Linked DNA regions of Macaca fascicularis. The protein of the gene in region 1 interacts with the protein of each later gene in a biochemical or structural test. Links are inferred from orthologs where the notes say so. Each region holds a gene or a part of one and is shown in the gene's direction. Other genes may lie near its edges.

Evidence for each region.
Region 2: the proteins of SEC31A (region 1) and SEC13 form a complex in vitro, tested with the Homo sapiens proteins (2 studies listed by BioGRID and IntAct, with this or other methods). The link is inferred for Macaca fascicularis from reciprocal best matches to the Homo sapiens genes SEC31A and SEC13.

Annotation. Positions count from the first base shown.
Region 1 is NC_088379.1:50,977,993-50,993,239, forward strand, and holds part of SEC31A (protein transport protein Sec31A), read left to right. Parts: intron 1-5,039; coding exon 5,040-5,201; intron 5,202-5,397; coding exon 5,398-5,550; intron 5,551-7,684; coding exon 7,685-7,921; intron 7,922-8,875; coding exon 8,876-8,950; intron 8,951-9,668; coding exon 9,669-9,707; intron 9,708-10,517; coding exon 10,518-10,595; intron 10,596-14,425; coding exon 14,426-14,501; intron 14,502-15,065; coding exon 15,066-15,244; intron 15,245-15,247. UniProt on the Homo sapiens protein: Component of the coat protein complex II (COPII) which promotes the formation of transport vesicles from the endoplasmic reticulum (ER).
Region 2 is NC_088376.1:148,609,723-148,625,069, reverse strand, and holds the end of SEC13 (protein SEC13 homolog), read left to right. Parts: intron 1-3,549; coding exon 3,550-3,683; intron 3,684-4,096; coding exon 4,097-4,220; intron 4,221-5,080; coding exon 5,081-5,227; intron 5,228-7,878; coding exon 7,879-7,992; 3' UTR 7,993-8,330; downstream 8,331-15,347. UniProt on the Homo sapiens protein: Functions as a component of the nuclear pore complex (NPC) and the COPII coat. At the endoplasmic reticulum, SEC13 is involved in the biogenesis of COPII-coated vesicles.

The DNA of each region.
Region 1 (15,247 bases):
TAGAGAAAGAAAAAGTGGGCCCAGGGGACCGGCACTCAGCATACAGAGGACCCATGCAGGCACCGGTCTCTGAGTTCCCTCAGTATTTATTAATCATTATCTTTACCATCTTAGAAAAAGGGAAGTGACAGGATAATAGGATCATGGTAGAGAGAAGGTCAGCAGTAAGACATATGAATAAAGATCTCTGTGACATGAATAAGTTTAAGGAAAAGTGCTGTGCCTTGATATGCATATGCAAACATCTCCATAAACTTTTTTAGTGCATAAAGAGCAGCATTGCCGCTAGCACGGCCCACTTTCCCCCCTTTTCTGTTTACTCCTTTCTCAGTAAACAGAACACACAATCGGGTTTTACACTGAGATGTTCCATTGCCCAGGGACGGGCAGGAGATGGATGCTTTTCTCTGTCTCAACTGCCGAGAGGCCTTCTTTCCTCTTATACTAGTCCTCCTCCGCACAGACCCTTCACGGGTGTCAGTCTGGGGGACGATCAGGTCTTTCCCTTCCCACGAGGCCATATTTCAGACTATCACAGGGGGAGAAACCTTGGACAATACCTAGCTTTCCTAGGCAGAGGTCCCTGCGACCTTTGGCAGTGTACGTGTCCCTGGGTACTTGAGATTAAGAGAATGGTGATGACTTTTCACAAGCATACTGCCTTCAGGCACTTGTTTAACAAAGCACACCCTGCACAGCCCAAAATCCGTTAAACCTTAAGTCACCACAGCACGTGTCTCTTGCAAGGACAAGGTTGGGGGTAGGGTCACAGATTAACAGCATCTCAAATACTGAACAAAATGGAGTCTCTTATGTCTACTTCTTTCTATATAGACACAGTAACAGTCTGATCTCTTTCTTTTCCCCACATTTCCCCCTTTTCTTTTCAACAAAACCACCATTGTCATCATGGCTCGTTCTCGATGGTCGCTGTCTCTTTGGAACTGTTGGGTATACCGGCAGACTAACAGCAAACAGAACAGGCATACAAGGATTCATACGAAATTTACAATAGTCATACTTCAGATGGTTTTAACCGAAGTGACAGGGTTAAGATTTGCAAGGCCATCAGCACCTCCTGCAGTTGCCTCAGTTTCTGGTACCAACACAAGAGATCACATACTTCACAAAGTCATAAAATATCACAAAGCAAGTGGAGGCAGGATGAGATCACTGACCACAGGATGGCGTTAAAATTAAAATTAAAATTGCATTGTCATTGATAACATCTTACCAGGAAACAGGGTTTGAGAGCAGACAACCTGTCTGACCAAACTTTATTAGGTGGGAATTTTCTCATCCTAATAAGCCTGGGAGTGCTACAGGAGACTAGGGCTTATTTCATCCCTTGGGCTTTGACCTTAAAAGACAGCACGCCTTGAGGGGGTCGTTTATAGGTCTACCCTCAGAGCGCACTCTTTTTCTCAGGGATGTTCCTTGCTGAGAAAAAGAATTCAGCGATATTTCTCCTATTTGCTTTTAAAAAGAGGAGAAATATGGCTCTGTTCCATCCGGCTCACCGGCGGCCAGTTCAAGGTTACCTCCCTTGTTCTCTGAACATCGCTGTTATCCTGTTCTTTTTTCAAGATGCCCAGATTTCCTATTGTTCAAACACACATGCTCTACAAACAATTTTTGCAGTTTACACAATCATCACAGGGTCCTGAGGTGACATACATCCTCCTCAGTTTACAAAGAAGATGATGGGATTAAGAGATTAAAGACAGACATAGGAAATTATAAAAGCATTAATTTGGGGAACTAATAAGTGTCCTTGAAATCTTCACATTTTATGTTTTTCTGCCGTGGCTTCAGCTGGTCCCTTCGTTCAGGGTCCCTGACTTCCTGCACATCTTTTCTTCTGATATCACCACCTGGTTCATCTTGCGAGTGAATGGTGCTCGATTGCGGTGTTTCCGTCTCCGTGGAGGCGCTTTTCTTTCCATCTCCGATGGGTTCATTGTAGAACTTCAAATGTTTAGTGGGTTTCCAAACAGGAAGCTGATTTTCTCCTGGTGAAACACAAGCAAAACCTCTTCCCTAGGTTATCACCTTCCCTATTTCCCATGTCTTATTTTTGTTATCTTTCCACCAAATCAGTTTTCCTTCATGTGGGCTGTTCTTTTTGCCAGTAAGATGTTGTTCAGCAGAAGTAGTAGTCTGATTTCTATAAATGTTTAAAAAATTTAAAGTATAGAGTGCTAGATTAAGTTGCATCTGAGGAGTGGTACACTCCTTACTGTCTCCCCCTTCTTTTTGTTTAATTAACTGAGTTTTGAGTGTTCTATTAGTTCTTTCAACTATGGCCTGCCCTTGGGAATTAGAAGGAATTCCTGTTGTGTGTGTAATTTTCCACTGATTTAAGAATTTTTGGACAGCTTTACTACAATATCCTGGTCCATTGTCAGTTTTAATTTTTTTTGGAACTCCCATTACAGCAAAACAAGATAATGAATGTTTTTTTAACATGGGAAGTACTTTCTCCTGTCTGGCAGGTTGCCCATATGAAATGTGAATAAGTATCAACTGTTACATGAACATATGATAATTTTCCAAATAAGGTACATGTGTAACATCCATTTGCCATAATGCATTAGGGCACAGACCTCTGGGATTAACTCCTGCCTCTTGAGTGGGCAGGTATAGTACTTTACACTGGGTTGTTGTACAATATCTTTTGCCTGTTTCCGTGTGATATCAAATTTGTTTTTTAACCCTGCTGCATTTACATGAGTCAAACCATGAAGTTCTTGTGCTTTTATGAATGCAGAGGATACCAGTAAGTCAACTTGTTCATTTGCTTTAGTTAAAGGTCCTGGTAAATTAGTGTATGCTCGAATATGAGTAATATAAAATAGGAAATTCCTTTTTCTTACAGTTTGTTGTAATAAATTGAACAGCTGGTTTAACTGATCATCCATGCTGTATTTAATTAGAGCTGTCTCAGCATCCCTTGTAGCCTGTACTACATATGCAGAATCTGATACAATATTAACAGGTTGATTAAAATCTTGTAACACTTAATGACTGCAACCAACTCTGCCCTTTGAGCCGATTGATACTGAGTTTTGAGCAGCATCTTGAAGCCTTGCTACAAAATCAGGGTAAGGCTCTTTAGAGCCTTGTCTTATTGTATTGAAGGAGGGGCAGGCGGTTTCTGGGTCTTGGATTTTCTCCCAGGCCCTAAGGCAGATAGCCCTAATTTGCTCAATGGCCTCATTTTGCATTATTACTTGTTGACTAGCAGTGCTCCAATTTTGACCTGTTCCTAATAGTTGATCTACCTCTATGTTAATTGGAAGATTGGCAGTCCTATGTCTTCGGACCTGTTCTTGTGCCCCATCAATCCACCAACTCTTAAATTGTAAAAAATGAGAGGGTGAGAGTGATGATTTTGCCAGAATCTCCCAATCATAAGGAATGAGTCTATGTCCATGAGCAATGGAATCTAATAATGTTCTCACGTAAGGAGAGTTGGGTCCATACTGTTTTACTCCCTCTTTCATTCCTTTTAGCATTTTTATAGAAAAGGACTCATATCTGGCTTCAGCTACGAGAGGCTCTCCCTCTTGGGCCCCTGCTCCAGATGGTCTTGATTCTAATATTACTGGGAATTGCCACACTTCAATATCTCCTTGTTTTCTTGCCTCATCAATAATTTTATGTAATGCACTACCCTGTCCACTAGGTGGTGCTGTAGGATTAAGTTTCATGGTGGGCGGCTGAGGCTATAGCGCCCTGCCCTGTGGCGCTGGAAACATTCCTGGCTGTCTGTACGGATTTTCTGGGGGCAGCAGATACTGAAGTTTGGCTGGCGGCCAGTATTGATAGGCTACTGGCGTCTGGGTCTTACTTTCTATCGGCTGATATTGTGGACACTGTATTTGGATTGGCATTGCCATGACAGAGACTCTATCTTTTTCTATTTGATCTTCTTTTGGAGTTTGTACTTGTTTAACCTGCATTTGAGGTTGTAAAGTTACAGGCATCTGAGCTGCTGTAAGAGGAGTTGGCCACTGTGGTTTAGACTCTGATGGCTCTGCTAGTTCTGGACCTTTTTCTTCTAACTTTAACATTTCAGGATATATCACCTCCTGTAATTGATTATCGTCAACATTTTGCATTGACCGAGCCATTACCGGAACTTTCTGTTCCTTTCCGGGATTCTATCCCTGCCTCTTTGACAATCTACTGCACAGCTTTCAGGGACATAAGAAACTGAAACGCTATCTTCTTCTGTTTGAAATGGTTCTAAAGCTACTTTAATAATGACCCAATCATTCTATACTGTGAGTGGGATAATTTTACCTTCCCTGCTTGCTTGTTTTAATTCTTTGCCAATTTTTTCCCAGTCTTTTAGATCTAAAGTTCCCTGTTCCAGAAACCATGGGCAAAACTGTTCTATTGTTTGGAATAGCGTAATTAGATTTTTGGTAGAGACTTTAATTCCCCCTCTTTTTAAGAGAATTTTAATAAAGCTGTGATAAGAGGCATATTTACTTTTAGTTTGCCCCATTGTTACCCTAGGTTCTTCCGAGCGCACAAGCTTACCGCAAGGCTGACTGTAGACATACTCGGGAGTCTCTTGTCGACTTGTCCTCAATGACCACGCTCGAGCGTACCTTCACCTTAGAGAAAAGCACCCACGTTGGGCACCAGATGAAGGGGTGGCCTGGTGCTCCACACCTGTGGGCGTTTCTTGTGAGGTGGAATGAGAGACTTGAGAAAAGAAATGAGACAAAGTGACAAAGCATAGAGAAAGAAAAAGTGGGCCCAGGGGACCGGCACTCAGCATACAGAGGACCCACGCCGGCACCGGTCTCTGAGTTCCCTCAGTATTTATTGAGTCACTACAGCACATGTCTCTTGCAAGGACAAGGTTGGGAGTAGGGTCACAGATTAACAGCATCTCAAATACAGAACAAAATGGAGTCTCATGTCTACTTCTTTCTATATAGACACAGTAACAGTCTGATCTCTCTTTCTTTTCCCCACACCACCATTTTCTGAGTGTTGTTGTTTGTTTTTTGTTGGCCCAGGTGTTATATGAACTTCCCACCAACACACAGTGGTGCTTCGATATTCAGTGGTGTCCCCGAAATCCTGCTGTCTTATCAGCTGCTTCGTTTGATGGGCGTATCAGTGTTTATTCTATCATGGGAGGAAGCACAGACGGTTTAAGACAGAAACAAGTTGACAAGGTAATAGGAAGTGTTAAAGTTTTCTATTATAATGCCTGAAAAAAGTACATGTTGTGTAATATTTTGAAATGACTTCACTGATTAACATTGCTGGTTAATTGGACAATTGTGATCAAAAATTTTTTTGGATATGACTGGAAAAAAATGAAAGATAGTTTGTGTATGGTCAGATTCTCATGTTATTAATCTTTTTTAGCTTTCATCATCTTTTGGGAATCTTGATCCCTTCGGCACAGGACAGCCCCTTCCTCCATTACAAATTCCACAGCAGACTGCTCAGCATAGTATAGTGTTGCCTCTGAAGAAGCCGCCCAAGTGGATTCGAAGGCCTGTTGGTGCTTCTTTTTCAGTAGGTGGATTTTGTTTTTATGGTCCATAGTCACAAAGGACTTTTTATACCAAAGTGTTATTACAGGATCACTCTGATGGAAGAAGTCGGGGTTTAAGTTGGGATTTGAGATGTATTTGTGGGTATTGCATCATTCAAAATGATTTCTCTGAAAAACTGGAACCTACTCTTTTTTTTCCCTTTTTTAAAAACATGGTAAAATATACATAAAATTTATCATTTTATCCATTTTCAAATGTACAGTTCAATGGCATTAAGTACATTTACATTGTTGTTGTGTAGCCAACACTCTATGTTCCTCCCCCCACTTTTTTTTTTTTAAATATTTTTTTATTTTAGACAGAGTCTTGCTCTGTTGCCCAGGGTGGAGTGCACTAGCGCAATCTCGGCTCACTGCAACCTCCGCCTCCTGGGTTCAAGCAGTTCTCCTGCCTCAGCCTCCTGAGTAGCTGGAATTACAGGTGCACGCCACCACACCTGGCTAATTTTTGTATTTTTAGTAGAGATGCGGTTTTACCATGTTGACTGGGGCTGGTCTCGAACTCCTGACCTCAGGTGATCCACCTGCCTCGGCCTCCCAAAGTGCTGGGATTACAGGCATGAGTCACTGTACCAGGCCCTCCTCCCTTTTTTTTAAATGTGTCTTCCTTCTCTCTCTCTCTCTCTCTCTCTCTCTGTCTCTCTAGCTCTTTCCCTCGCTCCCTCCCTCCCTTCTTTTTTTCTTTTCTTTTCTCTTCTCTTCTCTTTTCTTTTCTTTTATTTTCACAGGGAGTGTCCTCCCTCCTCTTCATCCTTTTAGCTTTCTTTTTTAATTGTCAGCTTTTTTTATTGTAAAAAATACGTAATATAAAATTTACTATCTTAACCATTTTAAATATACACTACAACCATTTTTAAATATATACTACAGTAGTGTTAACTATATACATGTTGTTGTGCAACAGATCTCTAGAACTTTTTCATCTTGCAAAACTGAAACTCTGTGCCCTTGAACAGCAGCTCCCCATTTCCTCTTTCCCTTGAATCCCTGGTAACCACATTCTACTTTGTTGCTAGGAGTTTTACTACTTTAAATTACTCATATAAATGGAATCATGCAGTACTTGTCTTTTTGTGGCTGGCTTATTTTACTTAGCTTAATGTCCTCAAGGTTTATTTGTGTTGTAGCATGACAGAATTTACTTCTTTTTACAGGCCAAATAATATTGCATTGTATATATATACCACATTTTTTTTATCCTTTCATTTGATGGTCATTTTGGTTGCTTCCATCTTTTGGCTATTGTGAATAAATGCTGTGGTGAACATGGGTTTGTAATTATCGTTTTGGGATCCTGTTTTCAGTTTTTTGAGACATATACCCAGAAGTGGGATTGCTGGATCGTACGATGGTTCTATTTTTAAGTTTTTGAAGAACCTCTATACCGTTACCATTTTACATTCTCACTAATAGTGCACAAGGGTTCTAGTTTCTCCACATCCTCTCTAGCACTTTTTGTTTGTTTCTTTCTTCCTTTTACATTGCTGACACTTTGCCTAATTCTTTCACACCAGACTTCTAATAGCTTGATTGCATATTTGTTGCTTGTCTTTTTCCTCTCTAATCTTTACTACATATTCCAAGATTAATCTTCCTAAAATAGACCTTTGAATATGTTTTATGTCACTCATAAGTCTGTTCTTTGGATCTGCTTAATCTTCTCATCATCCTATCTGGTCTTCTGTATCTGGGTGGATCACTTGAGGTTTGGAGTTCAAGACCAGCCTGGCCAACATGGTGAAACCCTGTCTACTAAAAATACAAAAATTAGCCAGGCGTGTGGCTGGCACCTGTAATCCCAGCTACTCAGGAGGCTGAGGCAGGAGAATCACTTGAACCCAGGAGGCAGAGGTTGTAGTGAGCCAACATCCCGCCTTTGCACTCCAGCCTAGGTGACTAAGAGTGAAACTCTGTCTCAAAAAAAAAAAAAGTACATTTCATCTAGAACAGAAATTGAAGTGATGTCAGACTGTGGCGCATGAGAGGTGGTATCAACTAATTTCATCCAGATTATCTGTTTAGGCCACTTTATAAGCACTGTTTTTGGCCATATCCTCGGGTTAACACTGAGTTTGTTCATTCTCTCTTTTATAGTTTGGAGGCAAACTGGTTACATTTGAGAATGTTAGAATGCCTTCTCATCAGGGAGCTGAGCAGCAGCAGCAGCAGCACCATGTGTTCATTAGTCAGGTTGTAACAGAAAAGGAGTTCCTCAGCCGGTCAGACCAACTTCAGCAGGCTGTGCAGTCACAAGGATTTATCAATTATTGCCAAAAAAAAATTGATGCTTCTCAGACTGAATTTGAGAAAAATGTGTGGTCCTTTTTGAAGGTAAAGTTGCTATTTAAGGCTGTATTATTTCATTATCTGCAAATTTAACTGTTCCATTATATTCTAAATCTGTCTTCCTTTTAAAGAATTGAAAAAGTGTGATTTCAGCAATTCATCATGAAATTAAGAAGCCTTATAAAGAGCATACAACCTGTGTCCAGAGTTTTTCCTTCTCTACTTTGAAAAGTGTAATACGAAATACATTTTTAATAAGAAAACAAAAATAGATCTGTTTAGAGGAGAGAGACATAGTCAGCATACCTATTTTGAAGATTAGTACATAGAGTTTACTATAATGAAAACATAGAATATTTAATATCTATATTAGATCTAGTTAAGGAAAATGGAAAAAGGAAGAGGAATAGAGGAGAGAGGTTGGAGGCATTTTTCCTTTTACTTTAAGAGGAATTAGGATAGAGTAACAAATAGAATTTCCTTGTTGGTCATTTTGCCTGCACTGGAATGTCTATTTCTTTATACAGTACTGATTTTTCAAGTAAAGCAGTCTTGAATACGGTAGGGTAAAGTCTAAAATTAAATAATTTATATTTTGTAATAATTTTGGGAAAGAATTTTAGGACATAGAATATTCCACATAGTTTGAGTTTTGTATCAATTTAACCTTTGAACATAAGTTTGTATTTAAAAAACTTACTGTTCAAAAGTAAACTTTATTCAACCAGGATAATTAATTACTAGTATATTTACTATTAAAAAAATCACTTATTTTAAAAAAATGATTCTGGGCACATGTTCTCAGGACCTCCTGAGGCTAGGTCTCCAAACAAAAAAACCAAAAAACCCACTATTCTTTAGATTCGTTCTAACAATGAATCTTTAGAATGTAGACTTCAGATAATTTTAATAATTCTCTTTGGAATTTGATTCATTCTTATAAAAAGTTGGCCTTTAAATGTAGGTCTTTCTTTTAAGAATATGTCTTTTTTTTAAAAGGTGAACTTTGAGGATGATTCTCGTGGAAAATACCTTGAACTTCTAGGATACAGGAAAGAAGATCTAGGAAAGAAGGTAAACTTTCGGGAAAGTTAGATGGCATGCTGTTTATGAATCACACTTTAAAAAAATAAAGTTTGACACAGATTATCTTAAATCACCCAATAAACATTTAATACTAATTTGTGTTTGGTTGCCAGCATTTTTTCTTTTTTCTTTTTTTATTCTCCATTATTACCCACAGTGGTTGCCAGAGTTTTGAATACATACTTGTATTAGCCTTTCATCATTCTTTGGAAATGACAAGAGTTTTCTGTAACATTGCAGGTTGTTGCATGTGTGATAGAGGTATACCGTGCACTGTAAGTGCATATTGAAGTTTAGTGCTCTTTTGATGTCCAGCAGAACTAAGATCACATCACAACCCCACTCCTTAGTGGCTGTGTCTTTGCTCACTCCTTTAGAGTTTTATATTTAACTTTATTCGTAGTCTAAACTTCTTGAGGCTGTAACTTTTTTAGGCTTGTAAGAGATTAATATATGAAAGTTATACTTGCATGCCTGATGGCAGAAAATGAGGAAATAGAATGATTGTCAGATTATTTCTAATCACTTCCGTGTGAAAGAAGCTAGAACCGTGGAGAACCAGTTATAGCTTTTATTGTTTTTTTAAACATACTATTCCTATAAGAACTTTTGTGGATTTTCGCCAATGAGAAGCAAGAGGTGAACATTTGCTGGATGCTCTGAAATAGAATTCCATGTAGTAGGTGAGCTGTTATTTTTATTTCAGATTGCTTTGGCCTTGAACAAAGTGGATGGAGCCGATGTGGTAAGAAGGCCTTTAAAAATAGCTACCTTCTAAAACTTTGGCTAGGTCATAACAAAGAAGGAAATATCATTTAAGAAATTTGTGTTTTATGGTTCATAGTATAAAAATAAATGCTTATTCTAGATATTTTAATAAGTTAATAATTCTCATTTTAAAAATAGCATGAGCTTAGCTGGTGGAACATTCCTTTCTCTTGACATACATATTTGAATTTTGTAAAGGAGGAAAAACAGAATTAATGACTACTCAAATACTTAAAGTTTTCTTTGTTGTTGTTTTTTGTTTGTTTGTTTTTTTGCCGGGGGAAAAAAAATTGATGGGAAAGTGGGCTGGGTGCGGTGGCTCACGCCTGTAATCCCAGCACTTTGGGAGGCCGAGGAGGGCAGATCACAAGGTCAGGAGTTCAAGACCAGCCTGACCAACATGGTGAAATCCTGTCTTTACTAAAAATACAAAAATTAGCCGGATGTTGTAGCACATGCCTGTAATCCCAGCTACTTGGGAGGCTGAGGCAGGAGAATTGCTTGAACCGGGAGGCGGAGGTTGCAGTGAGCTGGGATCGTGCCACTGACCTCCAGCGTGGGTGATAGAGTAAGACTGTCTCAAAAAAAAAGAATGGGAAAGTGTTAGCAGTAATAGTTCTTTACTTTTCCTCTAATGGTGATTCTCAAATAAATTTACTCACTGTTGCTTTTTATGATTAAACTAGCTCTGAATGTTGTTGGTTGGGTCTTTTGTCTTCCTGGTTCACTAACAGCCTTTTAATGCTACATTTTTCACCTTCCCCTGTAATTGTTTTGTGTACCAAAGGCTCTTAAAGACTCTGACCAAGTAGCACAGAGTGATGGGGAGGAGAGCCCTGCTGCTGAAGAGCAGCTCTTGGGAGAGGTACTTATTTTTTTTTTTTTTTCATATTATACTGGACAAATTTGTGATATTTGTGTATCTCACATTAAAATAAGAAAAATTTTCTTGACTACTTGTGGCAAAATTAAGTTGAAATAAATTGTTTTCTTTGAGATGTTTAGGATAGGAATCTATTTACCTATACTGATAAAAGTATCATCTCCAGACTCTTGTTCTCCAACCTTGTTTCTGGATTATATGGTTTAAAACTAACAGTTGATGTGAGATTAACATAATTTGGTCAGATGACTATCAGGATGTCAAACTGAAAAGAGATTTTATTCAGAAATCCTCATTGTGTTGCATGTAAAGTTAATGTCTTTTTTTGGCCTATAATTTTGGGCCAACTATCAGTGGCATAGGCCTCTGAATTAGTACTGAACATGGAGTTGAAGTAAAGGATATTTCACTAAACTTAGTCATGATTTTCAATAAATGTGTCGTTAGTTGATAATTGTTGTAAATAAGAAGAGTCCTTGAACACAGAGTTACATCATTAATTTTTCCTTTTAATTTTCTGGGTGTTTTTTTTTAACCACTAATGAACAAATCTATAATTTACTTTTCTTGCTTTCTAATTTTATATCATCTTGGAAAATTAATCAACAAGTTCTTCTCATCTCATCTTTGGCTTTTTCATTGTTCTTTGCAATATCTTGACTATGGAATGTTTTGTATAATTTTTTACTAAGTTATAAAAATAATTCAGTAAATTTAGTCTATTACAAGATGATTGCAAAAATCATTCTCCTTAGAAGTGGATCTCCTAGAGTTTATTAACAAGAGAATAAAGAATGTGGATAAAATCTTACTAAAAATTTGAACTAGGCCAGGCATGATGTTTGCTTATGCCTGTAATCCCAGCACTTTGGGAGGCCAAGGTGGGAGGATCACTTGAGGCTAGGAATTCAAGACTAGCCTGGACAACATAGTGAGACCCCATCTCTAAAAAAACAAAAAGAAATTAACCCAGCAGGATGGCACATGCCTGTAGTCCTACCTATTTGGGAGGCTGAGGTAGGATCACTTGAACCAAGAGTTCATGGTTGGAGTGAGCTATGATCACACCATTGCATTCCAGCCTGGGTGACAGAGCAAGACCTTGTCTGATTTTAAAAAGAAAAGAACTAATTTTGAGAATATTTAAACAGAATTGTAAGATACATAGAGAAATGTACTTTCATTTATGTACAGCTAGACTATGTATTATCAAATAGAGGGTCATTTGGGAATGCACTCATGAATAATAGGTAAGGAAAATATGCATTTAATGAAATAGTAGTCATCAATGTGTACTTTGGTTCTTTGAAAAAAATGTGTTTAAGGAGATAAAATCTTCCCCTTTGTCTTGATGAGCTATTTGTTTCATAGTAGCTTACACATTGAAGGCACTCATTACCTAATAAATTGTGCATTTTTTGACCTTATATCTAGTTCAGAAGTCCATAAATAAGGATAAATCATTTCTAGAAAGCAAATTGGAGAAATAGTGACTTAAAAAAAAGAAAAATGGCCGGGCGCGGTGGCTCATGCCTGTAATCCCAGCACTTTGGGAGGCCAGGGCAGGTAGATCACGAGGTCAAGAGATTGAGACCATCCTGGCTAACACGGTGAAACCCCATCTCTACTGAAAATACAAAAAATTAACCAGGCGTGGTGGCAGGTCCCTACTCGGGAGGCTGAGGCAGGACAATGTCGTGAACCCGGGAGGGAGGTGGAGCTTGCAGTGAGCTGAGAATGCACCACTGCACTCCAGCCTGGGTGACAGAGTGAGACTCTGTCTCAAAAAAAAAGTATTTTTATGCAAGTTTGTTAGTGAATGTAATTAGATCAGTGTGTCTGATTTATTCCTTAATGTGAATAACTTAAATTCTTAATTTCTTGGAGTTTTTAAATTCCAAATGCTTCTCTTTAGTTGGGGAAAGGGAATTAGGGTTATAGATATTCTCCTGTAATAGTCAACATTAATAATTAAGTGTATTTGCAGATGGTGCAGTGCTGTACTCTGCATTAAAATTACCCAGTTGTAAAGTGCCACTGACTTTGAATACTAGATATTTACATTCAGATGTGTAGATAATATAGCACGGAAGATAGATATTTCATCTCATGTAAGAAAGCTGTGTTTTTCTTTAAAAATTTATCTCTAATCTCTGATATATTTTTGTCTTATTTTGAATTTTTATGCATGGGAGAGAAAGCGTTTAAAATTATTTGCCTGCAAAATGCTTCCATTATATTTTTTCTAAAGAAAGCATTGAGTTTATTTTTAATCAGTCTTGCAGGTAGTCTCAGAAATTATAACAGAACTGTGTTTATTTTTACCAGACTAGCCCACTGTTCCAGGTACGACTAATTTGAGTGAAAACGAAATGTATACTTGAATTTAAGTGTATTAATAAATAATATATTGCTTTTACGTTGTGGGTACCAAGTGATTTTTTATTCTTTTTTTTTTTTTATGATTCAGTTAAAACAAAAGCACCTTATAATCAAATGTAGTGGACAGGAATTCTTAGATGTGTAAAAGCAGGTTTGTTTTAAAATTTTAAAATAGTGTAGTTTAAAAATATATTTTCCAGCCTGGCATGGTGGCTCACGCCTGTAATCCCAGCACTTTGGGAGGCTGAGGAGGACAGATCACGAGTTCAGGAGATTGAGACCATCCTGGCTAACATGTTGAAACCCTGTCTCTACTAAAAATACAAAACTTAGCCGGGCATGGTGGCAGGCACCTATAGTCCCAGCTACTCAGGAGGCTGAGGCAGGAAAATGGCGTGAACCCAGGAGGCAGAGTTTGCAGTGAGCCGAGATCGCACCACTGCACTCCAGCCTGGGAGACAGAGCAAGACTCCCTCTCAAAAAATAAAATTAAATAAATAAAAATAAAAATATATTTTCCATATTTTGAGCCACTCATAGTTACCTAAGAAAACAAAGATTCTTCGGCTTCATTACTGAGATACCAGTAATGAATATGTACACGTTAGTTTGTTTAATAGTGTTCTTTTTTTTTTTTTTTTTTTTTGAGGCGGAGTCTTGCTCTGTCGCCAGGCTGATGTGCAGTGGCACAATCTCAGCTCACTGCAACCTCCACCTCCTGGGTTCAAGTGATTCTCCTGCCTCAGCCTCCCGAGTAGCTGGGGCTACAGGTGCACACCACCACCACCATCACCAGCTAATTTTTGTGTTTTTAGTAGAGATGGGGTTTCACCATGTTGGCCAGGATGGTCTCAATCTCCTGACCTCGTGATCTGCCCTCCTCGGCCTCCCAAAGTACTGGGATTACAGGCATGAGCCGCTGCTCCTGGTCAATTTTTTTTATTTTAGTAGAGATGGGATTTCACCATGTTGGCCAGGATGGTCTTGATCTCCTGACCTTGTGATCTGCCTGCCTCAGCCTCCCAAAATGCTGGGATTACAAGCACGCGCCACCATGCCCGGCTAGTTTTGTATTTTTAGTAGATACAGGGTTTCACCATGTTGGGCATGGCTGGTCCCGAGCTTCTGACCTCAAGTGACCTGCCCGCCTTGGCCTCCTGAAGTGCTGAGATTACAGATGTGAGCCACTGTGCCCAGCCTGCTTAACCAGTATTCTTCATGACCTTGGATTTTATTTATGATTATATAATGGGAGGTAATATTTAGGGAAGTCATAGATCTTAGTGTAAATTTGGATCTGAGAACTTTTCTGGAATAACTTGGTATGTCATCTAGTCTGTAGATGAAGAATCATGTGTAAATTTTTTTTTGTCAGTAAATCATTCCACAGTTTTATTCTGGCTAAATTGTTGCTTTTTTCATCTCTTTAGCACATTAAAGAGGAAAAAGAAGAATCTGAATTTCTACCCTCATCTGGAGGAACATTTAATATCTCTGTCAGTGGGGGTAAGTACTTGTTGGTTTTGATTTCTAATTTTTTTTAACCATTGGAAAACAAATAGTTCCTGCATTTAAGTTAAAATGCTTCAAGTCAGGTGCCATGGTGCATGCCTATAGTCCCAGCTACTTGGGAAGTTGAGGCAGGAGGATCGCTTGGGCCCAGGAGTTTGAGGCTATCCTGGACAATATAGTGAAACGCTATCTCAAAAAAAAAAAAAGTTTTGTCACAGGTGGTACAGTGTGAGAAAGAACTCACTTTTCCTTTAGTACCGTATATGCAATCAGTGTCGTGGGAAGGCTGGTGTGTTCAGACACCTACGTGATCTTTGATACTCCAGTTAAAGCAGTCTGGAAAATGTATTATTTTATATTTATCTCAGCATATTTCTGTAGATCTTTTCCATAAATACCAATAGCTTGTGTTAGAAATTAATCCACTAGTAATCAGAAATTAGTGTTGTGGTCTCCATTCATGTATGTGTATAAAAATTGATAGATGTAGTACTTTGTTGTTGGTTTTGGTAACAAAAACTCAATATTTAACTTGGATGTATTATTTTCTTGTTGCAGACATTGATGGTTTAATTACTCAGGCTTTGCTAACAGGCAATTTTGAGAGTGCTGTTGACCTTTGTTTACATGATAACCGCATGGCCGATGCCATCATATTGGCCATAGCAGGTGGACAAGAACTCTTGGCCCGAACCCAGAAGAAATACTTCGCAAAATCCCAAAGCAAAATTACCAGGGTA
Region 2 (15,347 bases), on another chromosome or scaffold:
CAGCACTTTGGGAGGCTGAGGCAGGCGGATCACCTGAGGTCAGGAGTTCAAAACCAGCCTGACCAACATGGCGAAACCCCGTCTCTACTAAAAATAACAAAAATTAGCCGGACGTGGTGGCGCACACCTGTAATCCCAGCTACTCGGAAGGCTGAGGCAAGAGAATTGCTTGAACCTGGGAGGCAGAGGTCGCAGTGAGCCGAGATCACACCATTACACTTCAACCTGGGCAACAGAGCAAGACTCTGTCTCAAAAAAAAAAAAAAACAAGGCCAGGCGAGCTGGTTCAGCCTGTAATCCTAGCACTTTGGGAGATCGAGGTGGGAGGATTATTTGAGGCCAGGAGTTCAAGACCAACATGGCCAACATAGTGAGACCCTGTCTCTTAAAAAAAAAAAAACCCAGCATCACCAACTAAAAGATGTAATTCTAGTAAAATTATTAGACTTTAAATTTTGAGGGGTTCTAGAGAAAAGGAACCTTGTGACTTAAAGAGAAAAGACAATTAGGTTATTGTCAGACTTTTCAATAGTAAGGATTGGTGCAGAAGAAAAAAGAATAACATGTTTAAAATACTCAAGGAAAGAAAGTATGGGCCAGGGATTTATAACCAGGAAAATTGACTTTCAAGTGCACACAAAGACTTATACACAAAAGTTTATAGCAGCTTTACTAGCCAAAAACTGCAAGCAGTCCACATGTCCATCAACAGGTAAATGATAAGTTGTGATATATCCATACTTTGGAAATACTGCCAGCATTAAAAAGAAATGACTTAACACAATAAGAAGATGAATACATTTCAAAATAATTATGCTGAGTGAAAAAAAAAGAAAAAAAAGGACACACTGTGATTCCACTGCTGTAATATCTAGGAAGTGCAGCTGAGCAGGCCCGTGGTCACCAAGATTGGGGACTGCAAGATGGGGAGATGGATTACCAGGGGATCGAGGAAACTTTCTGGAATGATGGGCATGTTCCTTATCTTGATTGAGGTGATGTGATGATCCTACAGGGTATATTTTTGTCAAAATTCACCAAATCATGCACTTGATATGCAGTTTATGTCAATTATACCATATCAAAGCTGTTTTTAAAATTAGCTTTCAAGTGTAAAGAATATGAACTATTATCAATATGCAAGAATTCAGGGAATATTTGGGAGGCGGAGCTTGCAGCAAGCCGAGATCGCGCCACTGCACTCCAGCCTGGGCCACAGAGCGAGACTCTGTCTCAAAAAAAAAAAAAAAATTCAGGGACTACTGTTTCTAGGAGCCCTTCCTGCGGAATCTACTAGAGGATACATGTCACACAACAAAAATGACTACAAAGACTTCAGCATAAATATATAGAACTAAGATGAAATGAGGGTTAAAAGGCTGGGCCCACGGCGGACACGGTGGCTCACACCTGTAATCCCAGCACTTTGGGAGGCTGAGGCAGGCAGATCACCTGAGGTCAGGAGTTCAAGACCAGCCTGACCAACATGGCAAAACCCCATGATGTGGTTTGTCTGTGTCCCCACCCAGATCTCATCTTGAATGCCCACGTGTTACAGGGGGTACCTGGTGGGAGGTGGTTGAGTCATAGGAGGAGGTCTTTCCCATGCTGTTCTGTTCTCTTGATAGTGAATAAGTCTCACAAGATCTGGTTCTATGAGGAGGAGTTCGCCTGCACAGGCTCTCTCCCTTTTTGCTGCCATCCATGTGAAATGTGACTTGCTCCTCCTTGCCTTCTGCCATGATTGTGAGGCCTCCCCAGCTATGTGGAACTGTGAGTCCATTAAACCTCTCTTTTTTTGGTAAACTACCCAGTGTCAGGTATGTCTTTATCAGCGGCCTGAAAATGGACTAATACACCCCATCTCTACTAAAAATACAAAAATTAGCCAGGCGTGGTGGCACACACCTACAATCCCAGCTACATGGGAGGCTGAGGCAGGAGAATCACTTGAACCTGGGAGGTGGAGGTTGCAGTTAGCCAAGATCGCGCCTCTGCACTCCATCCTGGGTAACAGAGCCAGGCTCCGTCTCAAAAAAAACAAAAAAAAAAAAGGCAGTGGCTCACACCTATAATCCCAGTAATTTGGGAGTCCAAGGTGGGAGGATCGCTTGAGCCTAGGAAGTTTGAGGCTGCAGTGAACCATGATCATACCAACCTGCCCTTCAGCCTGGGTGACAGTGAGACCCTGTCTCAATAAAAAAAAAAAAGTTTTTGTTAATAATAAATAAAGAGGAGAATCAGTCATCTTTGGAAAGTGACAGAACCAGTTCAGAAAGAATCAAGCGTTTATCCAGGCTTTCCTTTCTGACCTTGTATTAGTCTGTTTTCACGCTGCTGGCAAAGACATACCTGAGACTGGGCAATTTCCAAAGGAAAGAGGATGGAGAACTCAGTTCCACGTGGCTGGGGAAGCCTTACAATCATGGCAGAAGGCAAGGAGGAGCAAGTCACATCTTACATGGATAGCAGCAGGCAAAAAAGAGAGCTTGTGCAGAAAAACTCCCATTTTTAAAATCATCAGATCTAATGAGACTTATTCACTATCACGAGAACAGCATGGGAAAGACTTCCCCCCGTGATTCAGTTACCTCCTACTGGGTCCCTCCCACAACATGTGGGAATTCAAGATGAGATTTGAGTAGGGACACAGCCAAACCGTATCAGACCTCTACCCCGGGTAACCAAATAGTTAATGAGAAGTACCCCTATCTGGAGCATTCCATGGAATAAATGACAAAGAAAGGATAGAATTAGAGTATCACCATTTTGCAAGACCCAGTGAATTCAGAGAAGCCTGAGTTATTGACAGCTGTTAATATAAGAGACAATCTAACGTGCCTCCTGATGAGAGAACACACCAGCTCTAGTCTTGGCCAAAGGGATCACACCTGAGTCTCTCCAGTCTTGGCTCCAGCTGACAGTTTTCAGGAATTCAGAGGAACATATTGAACTGCATATAAAGCAACAAAACCCAGACCGAGAAACTAGACTCTCTTCAGAAAAATTGTAAGGAAAAAAATCAGAGGAGGAATCTGCAAAGTAGGAGATGTAAAAAAAAAAAATCCAAAAAAATGTTTAATGGATAAGACTGTAGTGTCAAGGGATGCACATTTGGGCGATAAAAGGGGGGAAACTGGGTTAGAAGTCAGGGCAGTGGTTACTTGTAGAGGGAGCTGTGATTAGGAAGGGCATAATGACAGGGCTTTTCAGGCAGGTGGCAGAATTTTTGTTGATCCATTTATAATAAAAGATTTTTCTTAAAAAAGCTCCAATGTACTGTTCTTTCATGTGTTTAAAAAATGTCCTGTTTCTTAAATTTGTGGGAGTTCTTAATTTCTACTTTTAGTGCACACTGCAGAGAAATGCACACACTGTTGGGATCCTTGAGGGAGAATTCTGAGCAGTGGACCACATGATGAGTGCTTCATGTCAGCCTTCACACACAGTCCAGTCCTGAGAAGCGGAGGAGAGAGGGACAGCAGGCTTGGGTCTGCGAAAGCAGTGTTCTCTTGCAAGGCAGAGTCACCATGTGTTCCATCTTTACAGATTGGCTGCAATGCCGTCAGCTGGGCCCCTGCTGTTGTACCTGGAAGCCTCATAGACCAGCCTTCGGGACAGAAACCCAATTACATCAAGAGGTTTGCATCAGGTGGCTGTGACAACCTCATCAAGCTGTGGAAGTAAGTAGGGAAATGTGACTTTCTATTTAAGGGGACATTTCTGCCCTTTACCCTACTCACCATGACTCAGCCACACTCACAAGAAACAAAGTCACCTTTCTTTCTCCCTCCTGCCAGTAAAATACTGTTTTCAATCTGTCGAAGGACATCCTTGAAAAACAACACAACACCTGTTCACCTAATTCCCAACTGTTGGAGCTGACTCTCTGGCTGTGGAAGCAGAGCATTTCCTGGAGGGTTTTTTTTATGGCTGGGGTGAAGGGAATAAAATGCCACAAACTCCATGAATGAAAGAAGAAAGATGGAATCGCTTCTCCACCCCAGGCAGATCCTGTTGGGTAGGGGAGGAGTTGAGGTGTGGGAAAGGCCCCCAGGTGGCTCCCTGCTGATTCTCTTTCTGTCCCCGCTGTTAGGGAGGAGGAGGATGGCCAGTGGAAGGAGGAGCAGAAGCTAGAAGCGCACAGTGACTGGGTTCGAGATGTGGCCTGGGCCCCCTCCATCGGCCTGCCCACCAGCACCATCGCCAGCTGCTCCCAGGTCAGCCCAGGGCCATGAGAGCATCTCTTGTCATGTAGTCTCGAGTCAGGCCCATCAGCTCTTAGTCTCCTTAGCGGAAAGTCCTCTGTGAAGGTAAAGGGAGAGCAACAGGCACCTTTGGCCCAGAGCACAGGGAGTCAGGTCATCGTGTGGGGAACTCTGGGTCAGAAGCCACAAGTGGTCTGCCTCCACTGAGATGAGAGAGCTACAACAGAACCAGCACCAAGCAGGAGGTGGATTCGGGATGAATTTTCCCTCCCGCCCGTTGTGACACTAGGGAGCCAAGGTGCCCAGGTGCAGTTCCGAGTGTTCCCAAGCAACGATGGGGCGGGATGGGAAGGGATGGGAATTCTAGGCTCAGCTACCGAGCCACCCTTCCCAGACAGCAAGGACCACCAAGGGCGAGCCTTTAGTTATATGCCACCACCCTAGAGGGAGCCAGCCAGGCCTTTCATATCATAGGAACCTGTTTGGTTTGGTTCTAAATTTGAGATTTTTGTGCCTTTTCACTTGTGCCTTCTCATTCTCGGAGCTTGGTTTTTGGAGAGCTCTGCCCATTCAGTTGAGAAGGTATAGATAGCCAGTGGAGGTGACTTAGCAGGCATCAGGAAAACCCCAGAGAAAATCTGAGTTAGCAACGCAGAGTCCACCTCCGAAACCTGGATGAGAAAAGGAATCCGGGACACTCTTGACCAGTGTGAAGAGACAGAAGCAAAGCTGTGGATGCCCCAGAGGTCCTTGGCTCCCCTTTGAATCCCCCACCCTGTGCCTGCAGAGAGGTGCTGCGTGGCTCTAGATGGGGAGGACATCACAAACACAGCCTCGCCCCCATCTCCTGACTCTATCCTGTTTCTTCCTAGGACGGTCGTGTGTTCATTTGGACCTGTGATGATGCCTCAGGCAATACGTGGTCCCCTAAATTGTTGCACAAGTTCAATGATGTGGTGTGGCATGTGAGCTGGTCCATCACAGCCAACATCCTGGCTGTCTCCGGTGGAGACAATAAGGTACATACCCATTCCCCACGGCTTGGTGGACATGGCCTGTTGGTCTTCACCCCGCCCACTAGAGAGCGCACTTGACATTCCCACCTGACTGCAGGCTGGGAAGGAGCCTCAGCCAGGGCTGTGTGCTGAGTGTGCCTCTTAGTTACATCATTAATGTCACAGCCCCCAAGGTAGTATTGGTATGTCCCCCTTTCACAGATGAGGAAAGAAGCTGACAGAGGCGATTTGACTTGCATGGGGGTCCCAAAACTATGAGGTGGCAGGGCCAGTCAGGCTCATCACCCTGCTAACCATTTGGTCACCTCATGGCGATGTTCAATTAGCTGTGCCAAAAAAGTAAGTGTATGAGAACCCATAAACAAAAGCGAGAAGATTGGGGACTTTTTTTTGTCCCTAACACTTAAAAGGCTTTTTAAAAATCTGTAGAGTTTATGAATACTTGTTATGCTGGTAAGAGTCAGGTACACAGTGGGTGCATTGAAAGAGTTTGCATTTTGCAGCTAAAAAGAGTTCTGGAGACCAGCTGCACAGGGATACAAATGTACTTCACACAACTGGACTGTGCAGTTAAAAATGGCCAAGATCATTTTATGTTACGTGTATTTTACAATTAGAAGGAAAAATTACTCGCAGAAAGGAAGCAGTAACAAGCCACGGCCATCTGCCCAGCTGAATTCCCCTGTAAGACAGAGGATCCCTAACTCCACAGGGTCAGTTCCACATGGAGTGGCTGTGCTACGTTTTCAGGCACATCTGCTCTGCGTCTGAAGTGCGAGTTGGTCTGGATCCTGCCAGCCCTTGCTGCTTCTCTCCCTTGCCTGTGTTGGTCTTTTACTGTTTCCCAGTGGCCACTTTGGCTCCATGTCTTACCTTTCATTTGTGTAGCTCACAGCACAACCAACACAGGCAAGGCAGAGCAGCAGCTGATCTCCAGAACTCTTTTCAACTGCAAAATTGAAACTCCGTACCCATTAAATAACTCCCTTCCCCATTGCCCACCCCCCAGCGCTGGCAGCCACCCTTCTCCTTTCTGTCTATGTGAATGTGACTGCTCTAGGGAACTACCTAAGTGGAATCATACAGTATTTGTCCTTTTGCAACTGGGTTATGTCACTTAGCAGTATGCCCTTAAGGTGCCTCCATGCTGTATGTAGCACGTGTCAGAATTCCTTCCTTTGTAAAGCTAAGTAGTGTTGCATTGTATGGACAGCCTACACCCCATTTCTACACTCATTCCTCCACCAGCGGGCGCCTGGGCTGCTGCCACCTCATAGCTATTGCGAATAGTGCAGCTGTGAACATGGGCATGCAGATCTGAGAGCCTCTGCAGGCAGCTTTTCTGACCGAGGGTCCCTTTCATCTACAGTGGTCCCAGAAAGATCTAGCAGGCCCCCTCTCAAAGCCATATTTCTAGTGAGTGCCAGTCAGGACTAGAACCCAGGTTTGATGGCACTCAGGACAGACCAAGGGACCAGATTGCCTCAAGCAGGCCCACAGTGATTTTTACAAGGCTGTAAGCAAGTGCCTGGCTGTACATGCAATGTTTTGGGGTCCCCGTCACTATGCATTTAGGCTTCTTGCTCTTTCCTTCTTTATAAGCCTATTTCCTTTTGCTGTCTCCATAGCACCCTTAGTTAAAGGACTTAGTGTTTTCAATCCGAGAGTTTTCTGCAGTGTGTTGAGTGAATAAAGTGTGTCCCTAAAGCAAGAGTTCTTAAAATCAAAATCATTATTTTCATTTTTAATGAAACTAATATATGTACATAGCTTTAGATTGTTTTTGTTTTTTGTTTTGTTTTGAGATCGCGTCTCACTCTGTCGTCCAGGCTGGAGTGTACTGGCAGTCTTGGCTCATTGCAACCTCCGTCTCCTGGGTTCAAGTGATTCTCCTGCCTCAGCCTCCCCACTGGGAGATTATAGGTGCCTGCCACCAAGCCCGGCTAGTTCTTTTGTGTGTATTTTTAGTAGAGACGGGGTTTCACCTTGTTGGCCAGGCTGGTCTCGAACTCCTGGCCTCAGGTGATCCACCCATCTCAGCCTCCCAAACTGCTGGGAGCCACCACACCTGGCCTAGATTGATTTTTTTTAATGCAGCCTCCTAATTTTCACTCTCCAGGGGCAAATCTTTTCAGCTCTTAGCTATTTCTTACACAGTTTACTTCAGTGTAGAAACAACATACTAATGTTACCTTCCTCTACCACAGTAGCTTTCAAACTGCAGCGTTGTTACACCTGTTAAAACAGATTGCCAGCCCCACCCCGAGAGCTTCTTAATCAGTTGTTCCAGGCCCCAAGAATCTACAGTTGTAGCAAGTTCCCAGGTGACCGATGCTCTGGTCTGGGGACCACACTTCACAAACCCTGCTCCCTGCCACCCCATATCCTGTTACCGTAGCTCTGTCACAGTTTGGTGAAAACACTATCCTGTGTTGACATCATCATCCACAGCTGCTATTATTGTTACTCCTTTTTTTCTGTGAGTTTTTATTCCTGGACTCTCATTTTGGTGGGATTTCAGTGGAGGAGGGACATGCTCTGTTCATCCACAAGCCTCTGGGCAGTGGTTCTTGATGGGGATGAGGCTCATATTTAGGGGACAGCGGAGGGAAGGCCTCAGACCCATGATAATCTGCTTGTGCACTGACTTGCAGGTGACCCTGTGGAAGGAGTCGGTTGACGGGCAGTGGGTGTGCATCAGTGATGTCAACAAGGGCCAGGGCTCCGTGTCAGCGTCAGTCACAGAGGGCCAGCAGAACGAGCAGTGACAAGACAGGTGGGGCCTGGCTCCCTACCCGCCAGCGCCAGGACTGCCCCTTCCTGGGCCAACTGACCAAACAACTGGGAAGAGCCCCCAACTCCAACAGGATTGTTTTCCCAGGAGGAGTTACAGATGCAGCCACAGATTGATCATCTGCCTTAATTATCGGAGATGCTTTGTAATCTGCTGTCCAGCTGAAAGCGCTCATGTTATGAGGAAGAAACTGCAAATGAAGTTCAAATCTATTTTAAACTATTTTGGGCCATTTTTATGTACCTTTGGGTTCAGGCATTATTTGGGGGGTTTTGTTTCCAAAGTAACTAAATAAAGTCATATTGCTTATAATTCCCGCTGCGTTATCCTAACCACCTCCCACCCCACCCCGCCAGCTCAGTTTGACTCTTGTCGGTCCACGCACTAGAACAACGTACACAAAGGCCATGGCTGTGATGGCCTGGCTCAACCCCACCCACAAAGGTGGCTTGTCACTGCATGAGCATCTCTTTGATTCAGTTTATACTGAAAGCACCATACAGAGCACTGGACTCAGCCTTTGGTGACAAGGACTGTAGCCCTGGCTCTGCTGCTCAACCTCTCCGTACACATCCTCTTCTGCAGAATGGGACTAATACAGTCTGCCCTACAGGATGGCTGCAGGACTCAAATGAGCTAGCGCATCTGGTGACCCACAAAATGCCATGCAGATGCAAGGTGATATTAACCAGACACCAATAGCTATGAGGCTGGCCCAGAAAGTGGGCACAATTCATTCAGTTTATTGACGCTGTCAGGGAAAGGAGGGCCCTGTGATGGGAGACCTAACTGACCCTGAACCAGGTTTTCAGCAGAGGCCCTGTGACCCTGACAATCGCCACAGCCATCACTGAGCCTGCAGTGAGCCAGACACTACCCTGGATCTTTCACACACTCACTAATTTAAGCAACACAAGAACCTTGTGTGGGTGTCCCCAGTTCACTAATGAGGAAGCGCTCAGAAGGTAGAAGCACTGCCCAGGACTGTGCAAACATAAAGCCAGCACCTGGGTCTGGCCTGTCTCAAGAGTTACTCCCCACTGTAGCATCAGGGTGGGAGCTGGGGGGATCTCAGCTATAATCCAAGGGTGCTTCTCACACCAAACCTTTGTATGAATCGGCCCAGATAAAAGGTCAGCCCAGTTGCCTCAGGACCCCTAGTCTACCTACTTCTTGTCCTTCCCTCCTTTTTCAGCAGCAAAACCCCCTTTTTAAAAAAAATAAATCTGATCATACTATGTAACATGCAAAAAAGTGAAACCACTTTGGTTAAAGGTGAGGATAGAGAGGCCATGGCCTGGCCCAGTCAGCCTCCCAAGTCACTCCACAAAACCCAAGCCTTCTGAGACCAACATGAAAACAGCTGCTTCCTTCCCTTCATTACTCAGAAAAGCAAAGCCCAGGAAGGCATCTTCGCGTGCACTACTGAGCGTAGAGTTCTACACCGAATCCTTGAGCCACATCCACATCTGCCTCCCTGATATGCATGCTCTGTGCTCCTCAAGCCTGGGCCTGGGCTTCCTATGGTGCCAGCTGCTGTCACCAAGTAACTACCGAGAAGGAACTAGTCCCGTGTCACTCTGGGTTGCTGGTAGGTTAACGGGTCCGTGGCTGTGTACTCTATTTGTAACTCACACCACCAAGGATCGGTTAAGATAATTGGGAGTTAAATGAAGTTTGCACCATAATAGTTGTTTATGCTTAGAGTGGCAACACATTAACCATTCCTGGGGTAAGAGGAGACCCCAAAATTAGTTACCACAAAATAGCCTAGTCAAATAGAAACACTATCTGTAAGACTTGAACGCAGTTGCCAAGCCCAAATGAGATAAAAGAAAGGGAAACTTAAAAGGAACAGAGTTCTGGTTAGGGCCAGATGGCGCTAGCAGCCACATGTTTTTTAATCCTTTTGCAAAAACAAAGCAACTGTGACAGCAAAAGAAACCCAGAGACCCTAGAACATGGAGTAGGCCAAAGCCTTCATAGACACAATACCTCTGAGAGAGCAGCAGGGCGAAGAAAAGGGAGTTTTTATGGTGCTATAAGCCAGAGACCCCCAAAATTGCCATCAGATACTCATCCATTCTGAGTAGAAAACTCAGCAAGTCAATGTGAAAACAATTCCCAAAACTAGAAGATTCACAGGCTTCCACTTACAAGTGAGCCCAGAAACACTAAGGGGAGACCTTCCACTTCTGCATATAAAGGATTAACAGTTACAAGAATTTCCCAGCCAGGTATAGTGGCTCACAACTGGAATCCCAGCACTTTGAAAGGCCAAGACGGGCGGGTTATTTGAGCCCCGGAATTCAAGACCAGCCTGGCCAACACGGCGAAACCCCATCTCTACTAAAAATACAAAAATTAAGTGCAGTGGCGGGCCTGCAGTCCCAGCTACTCAGGAGGCTGAGGCACAAGAATCGTTTGAGCCCAGGAGGCGGAGGTTGCAGTGAGCCGAGATTGCACCGCTGCACTCCAGCCTGGGCAACAGAGCAAGACTCTGTCTCAAAAAAAAAAAATATTTCCCTGGCTGGGTGCAGTGGCCAGTACTTTGGAAGGTTGAAGGAGGAGGATCTCTTGAGCCCAGGAGTTTGAGATCAGCCTGGGCAACACAGCAAGAGCCTGTCTCTTTAATAATAAATAAGAATTTCCCTCACGCTATAAACAACTACGAAATCAAGAAAAATACATGAAACAACTACTGCTTTCAGACATAGGACAACAGGCAGTGTTTGGGAAAAGGGAAACAGGTAAGCACAACAAATGCCCCAGATTACTACCCAGAAGCAGTTTCTGGGCCAAAAGGTAAAGAGAGACTCCAGAGTCTAGTAGTCTCTGGGACTTGAAGAGACAGAAGTCAGAGTTTAGGAAGACCCAGGCAGGCTGGGCGCAGTGGCTCATGCTTGTAATCCCAGCACTTTGGGAGGCCGAGGTGGGCAGATCACCTGAGGTCAAGAGTTCGAGACCAGCCTGGCCAACATGGTGAAACCCTGTCTGTACTAAAAATACAAAACCTGGCCAGGCGTGGTGGTGCACCCCTGTAATCCCAGTTACTCAGGAGGCTGAGGCAGGAGAATTGCTTGAATCAGGGAGGCGGAGGTTGCAGAGAGCAGAGATTATGCCACTGCACTCTGGCCTGGGTGAAAGAGCAAGGCTCCAACTCAAAAAACAAACAAACAAAAAAGACCAAGGCAGAATTGAAGGCAGAGGAGGACGAGAGGAGGAAGCCACACAGAGCAAGCTCCTGAGAGCTGAAGGGTCTCCTGGAGTCTTTGGCCAAGTACTAAATAGGAAGGGTGAAACCAATAGACCAAGCAGCTGGAGCTCACATAGGGGTGGGAATAGCCCATGTTCCCAGCAACCAGAAAAAAAGAGACATTCCACACAGAACAACAAATACAAGAGGGCAGCAGGCCAGGCGCAGTGGTTCACGCCTATAATCCCAACACTTTGGAAGGCTGAGGCGGGTGGATCACGAGGTCAGGAGTCCAAGACCAGCCTGACCAAGATGGTGAAACCCTGTCCCTACTAAAATTAGCCGGGAGCAGTGGCGGGCGCCTGTAATCCCAGCTACTCAGGAGGCTGAGGCAGGAGAATTGCTTGAACCTGGGAGGTAGAGGTTGCAGTGAGCCGAAATCGCGCGACTGCACCCCAGCCTGGGCGACAGAGCAAGACTCTGTCTCAAAAAAACAAAGGAGCAGCAGCCAACTTCTCATCAGAAAGTAGGCAAACCATAAGAAAACTAACATCTTTAAAGTACTGAAACAATTTAAAAAAAAAAAAAAAAAACCTGTGTCTCAAATTCTATACCTAGTGAAAATATATATTTCTTTCAAATAAAAGCTGAAAGAATTAATCACCAGCAGAGCTGTCAATACAAGAAATGCCAAAGAAGTTTCCTTCAGGCAGAAGGAAAAACGGGCTGGGTGCAGTGACTCACACCTGTAATCCCAGCACTTTGGGATGCTGAGGCAACAGGATTGCTTGAGCCCAGGAGTATGAGACAAGCCTGACCAACATAACATGGTGAGACCCTGTCTCTACAAAAAAATACAAAAATTAGGGTTTACAAATATGACTTCAGGCCCAACACGGTGGCTCACGCCTGTGATCCCAGCACTTTGGGAGGCCTAGGCAGGTGGATCACTTGAGGTCAGTAGTTCAAGACCAGCCTGGCGAACATGGCAAAACCCCATCTCTACTAAAAATACAAAAATTAGCTGGGTGTGGTCGCGCATGCCTGTAGTCCCAGCTACTTGGGAGGCTGAGGCAGGGGAATTGCTTGAACCCAGGAGGTAGAGGTTGCAGTGAGCCAAGATCACGCCACTGCACTCCAACCTGGACAACAGAGCAAAACTCCATCTCAAAAAACAAACAAACAAACAAATATGACTTCAACATATTGCAAATACCTTCAACAACTCCAATATCCCTTTACAGATATCCCCTTACAGGCCGAGGGGGGAGGATCGGTTGAGCCCAGAAGGTGGAGGTTGTAGTGAGTTGAGATCACACCACTGCACTCCACCCCAGGTGACACAGTGAGACCCTGTCTCAAATAAAAAAGAAAAGAAAAATGGATCTGCACTAAGGAATAAGGAGCAACACGATAGTAAATACCCGAGTTCATAAGACTTTTTCTTAATTTCTTTAATCTCTCTAAAAACATTGGCTATTTCACATGCATTGTGGGGTTCATAGCTTATGTAAAAATAAAATGTGTGACAATAATATCACAAAGAATAGAAGTGTGGAAATGAAAGCATTCTGTGCTACAGTTCTTACACTATCTGTGAAAGGATATCATAGTTGTTGAAGGTGTTCTGCAATATACTGAAGTCATATTTGTAAATCCTAGAGCAACCATTCAAAGAATACAACAGTACAGTATAGTAATAAGCCGACGGTGAAGACAAAATGATACCATTCAAAACCCTCTAAAAGTGGTTATGACAAGGAAAAGAAAAGGAAGAACAGATGGGACAATGGGAAAACCGGTGACTTACAAATAGTCTGAGATTAACAGTAATGTGCTAACATTGGTGTTTTAATTTTGATAAATGCACTATGGTTATATAAGATATTCACATTAGTGGAAACTGAATTGGGGTATTCAGAGAGAAAGATTTCATCTTCCATCTGTTTAAATTTTCTGCTGGAAGCAAGCATTTATAATCAAAATTTACCTGGGATACTTGGTAATTTATAATCAAAATTACCTGAGATACTTGAAACAGATTCTGCGGCCCCCACGCCAGAGTTACTGGATCAGAATCCAAGGATGGAGTCTTATAAACATGCAAAAACTTATGAAGCTTTCCTCATGAATCCAACACAACCCAACACAGGTCTGTATCTGGAAATTGAGATTAGATGGCCCTCCAGGCCACATCCCACCCTGAGGTCCTATGGCTCTTGGCAGTCCATAGACTAAAAGGCTGGATGAGCAGCAATGCTGAGAGAACAGTTTCAGTACAGCGGTGGGGATGAGGGTCAAGTTCAAGTTTGGAGGGGCCAGGATACAGTAAAGAAGAGGACACGAGGAAAGGGAAAGGAAATGGAGACGGTAACATGAGGGGAGGGTGGGATCGGTGCACAACAGACATTTTCAGGATTAGGAACCTGGGTGTATTTTAAGGTGGAAATCAGAAGCCATTGGAGGGGAACAGATTGAAGACACAAGAGAGGCAAAGGCAAAGTGTTAGAGCTTTGGCCCCAAGATGGCTGGAGGCTAGGGAAGCCCCAGTGAGAGAGGCAGAGCTTGGCGAACAGGAGGGATGAGAGAGCGTGGCTAAGGTTACAGAGGATTTAAGAGCGATGGCCACCTACCTAGAATGAGCCCTATGTGGCTGCTGAGCATTGGAAACATGGCCAGTCCAAATTGAAATACACTGTAAGAACACACACTGGATTTCAAAGACCACACACCTGTAATCCCAGCACTTTGGGAGGCAAAGTCCGGCAGATCACTTAAGCCAGGAGTTCAAGACCAGCCTGGGCAACAAGTCAAGACGCTGTCTCTACAAAAAATACAAAAATTAACCAGGTGTGGTGGTGTGCACCTGTAGTCCCAGCCACTTGGGAAGCTGAGGTGGGAGGATCATCTGAGTCCAGGGAGGTGGAGGCTGCAGTGTGCCATGATAGTGCTACTGCACTCCGGCCTGGGTGACAGAGCAAGACCCTGTCTCAAAAAAATATATATGTATATTCATTTAGACATACGCTGTTGCACACTTAGACTATAGTATAGTATCAGCATAAGTTTTATATTCATGGGGAAACCAACAAAATTCGTGTGACTCACTTCATTGTGGTCTGGAACCAAAGCTGTAATGCCTCCGAGGTATGCCTGTATATTTCTACTGGAAAATGTGAATCTAGAAATTATGGAAGCTACAACTAGGACAAAAAGAAACCCCACCAAACGGCCCTATATCAAAGAATAAAATCTCTTTCTAGAACCCCAGAATTTGCCTCTTTCAGACTGAAGTTTAGCCAAATCTATGAAAAAAAGAGCTTGCTAAACCAACTAATCATCAGTACAAATAAAATTATAATGAAAAGTATATGAAGATAATTTGGTCTCAGATGCCCTTTACATATAGCAATCAATTCACAAATGATGAGTCAATCATGTGCCTTCATGAAGGCAGGCCCTCCAGAGACCCGCAACAGAAAGGAAAGCCACCGACTGGACAGAACCTGCTTCCTGAGCCCCCACCAAGTTCCAAAAAGGATAACGGGGCTTCGTCCTCACCCTCAAGGAGTTGACAAACTGGGCTTGGTTATTATTCACACTTGGAAAGAATGAGGAAGGTCAGTCAGTCCCCTCCAGGTCACTCAGGCTTCCTCCAAGCTCCTCTTGTTCAGATTTGCTGTGTCCTCCGGCCAGCATCCCTCCTCCACTCCGTAACTAAGAGGACCATGATATAGCTTCCCGGTGCCTCCTCCCGCCATGGTTCTTCTGTCCATCAGCTGTTCCTTCCTCGACTCTGTGGTATGCGGCTAGGGGAGCTTCCAACTCCCAGGGGACATTTCAGTTCCCCAAAGATAACACAGCTTTGAGCTTTGCGCAGCGGGTGTTTACTTGCTGGTGGTCTTATCTAGGATCAACACTGGCAGCTTTGCCTGGAGAGGCCTCCAGGGTCCAGGTAAGCGGAGGCTTCATGTCTCAGGAGGTACCTGGTCACCATAGTTAGGGTTTTTCTGTTTGGGGATTTTTTTTTTTTTTTTTTTTTAATGGGGTTGGTGGCTCTGAAAAAGCTGCAAGTCTTCTCTGAGGACTACAGACCTCTCTCTACCCTCTCCACATTCAGCCTCTCTGGGCTC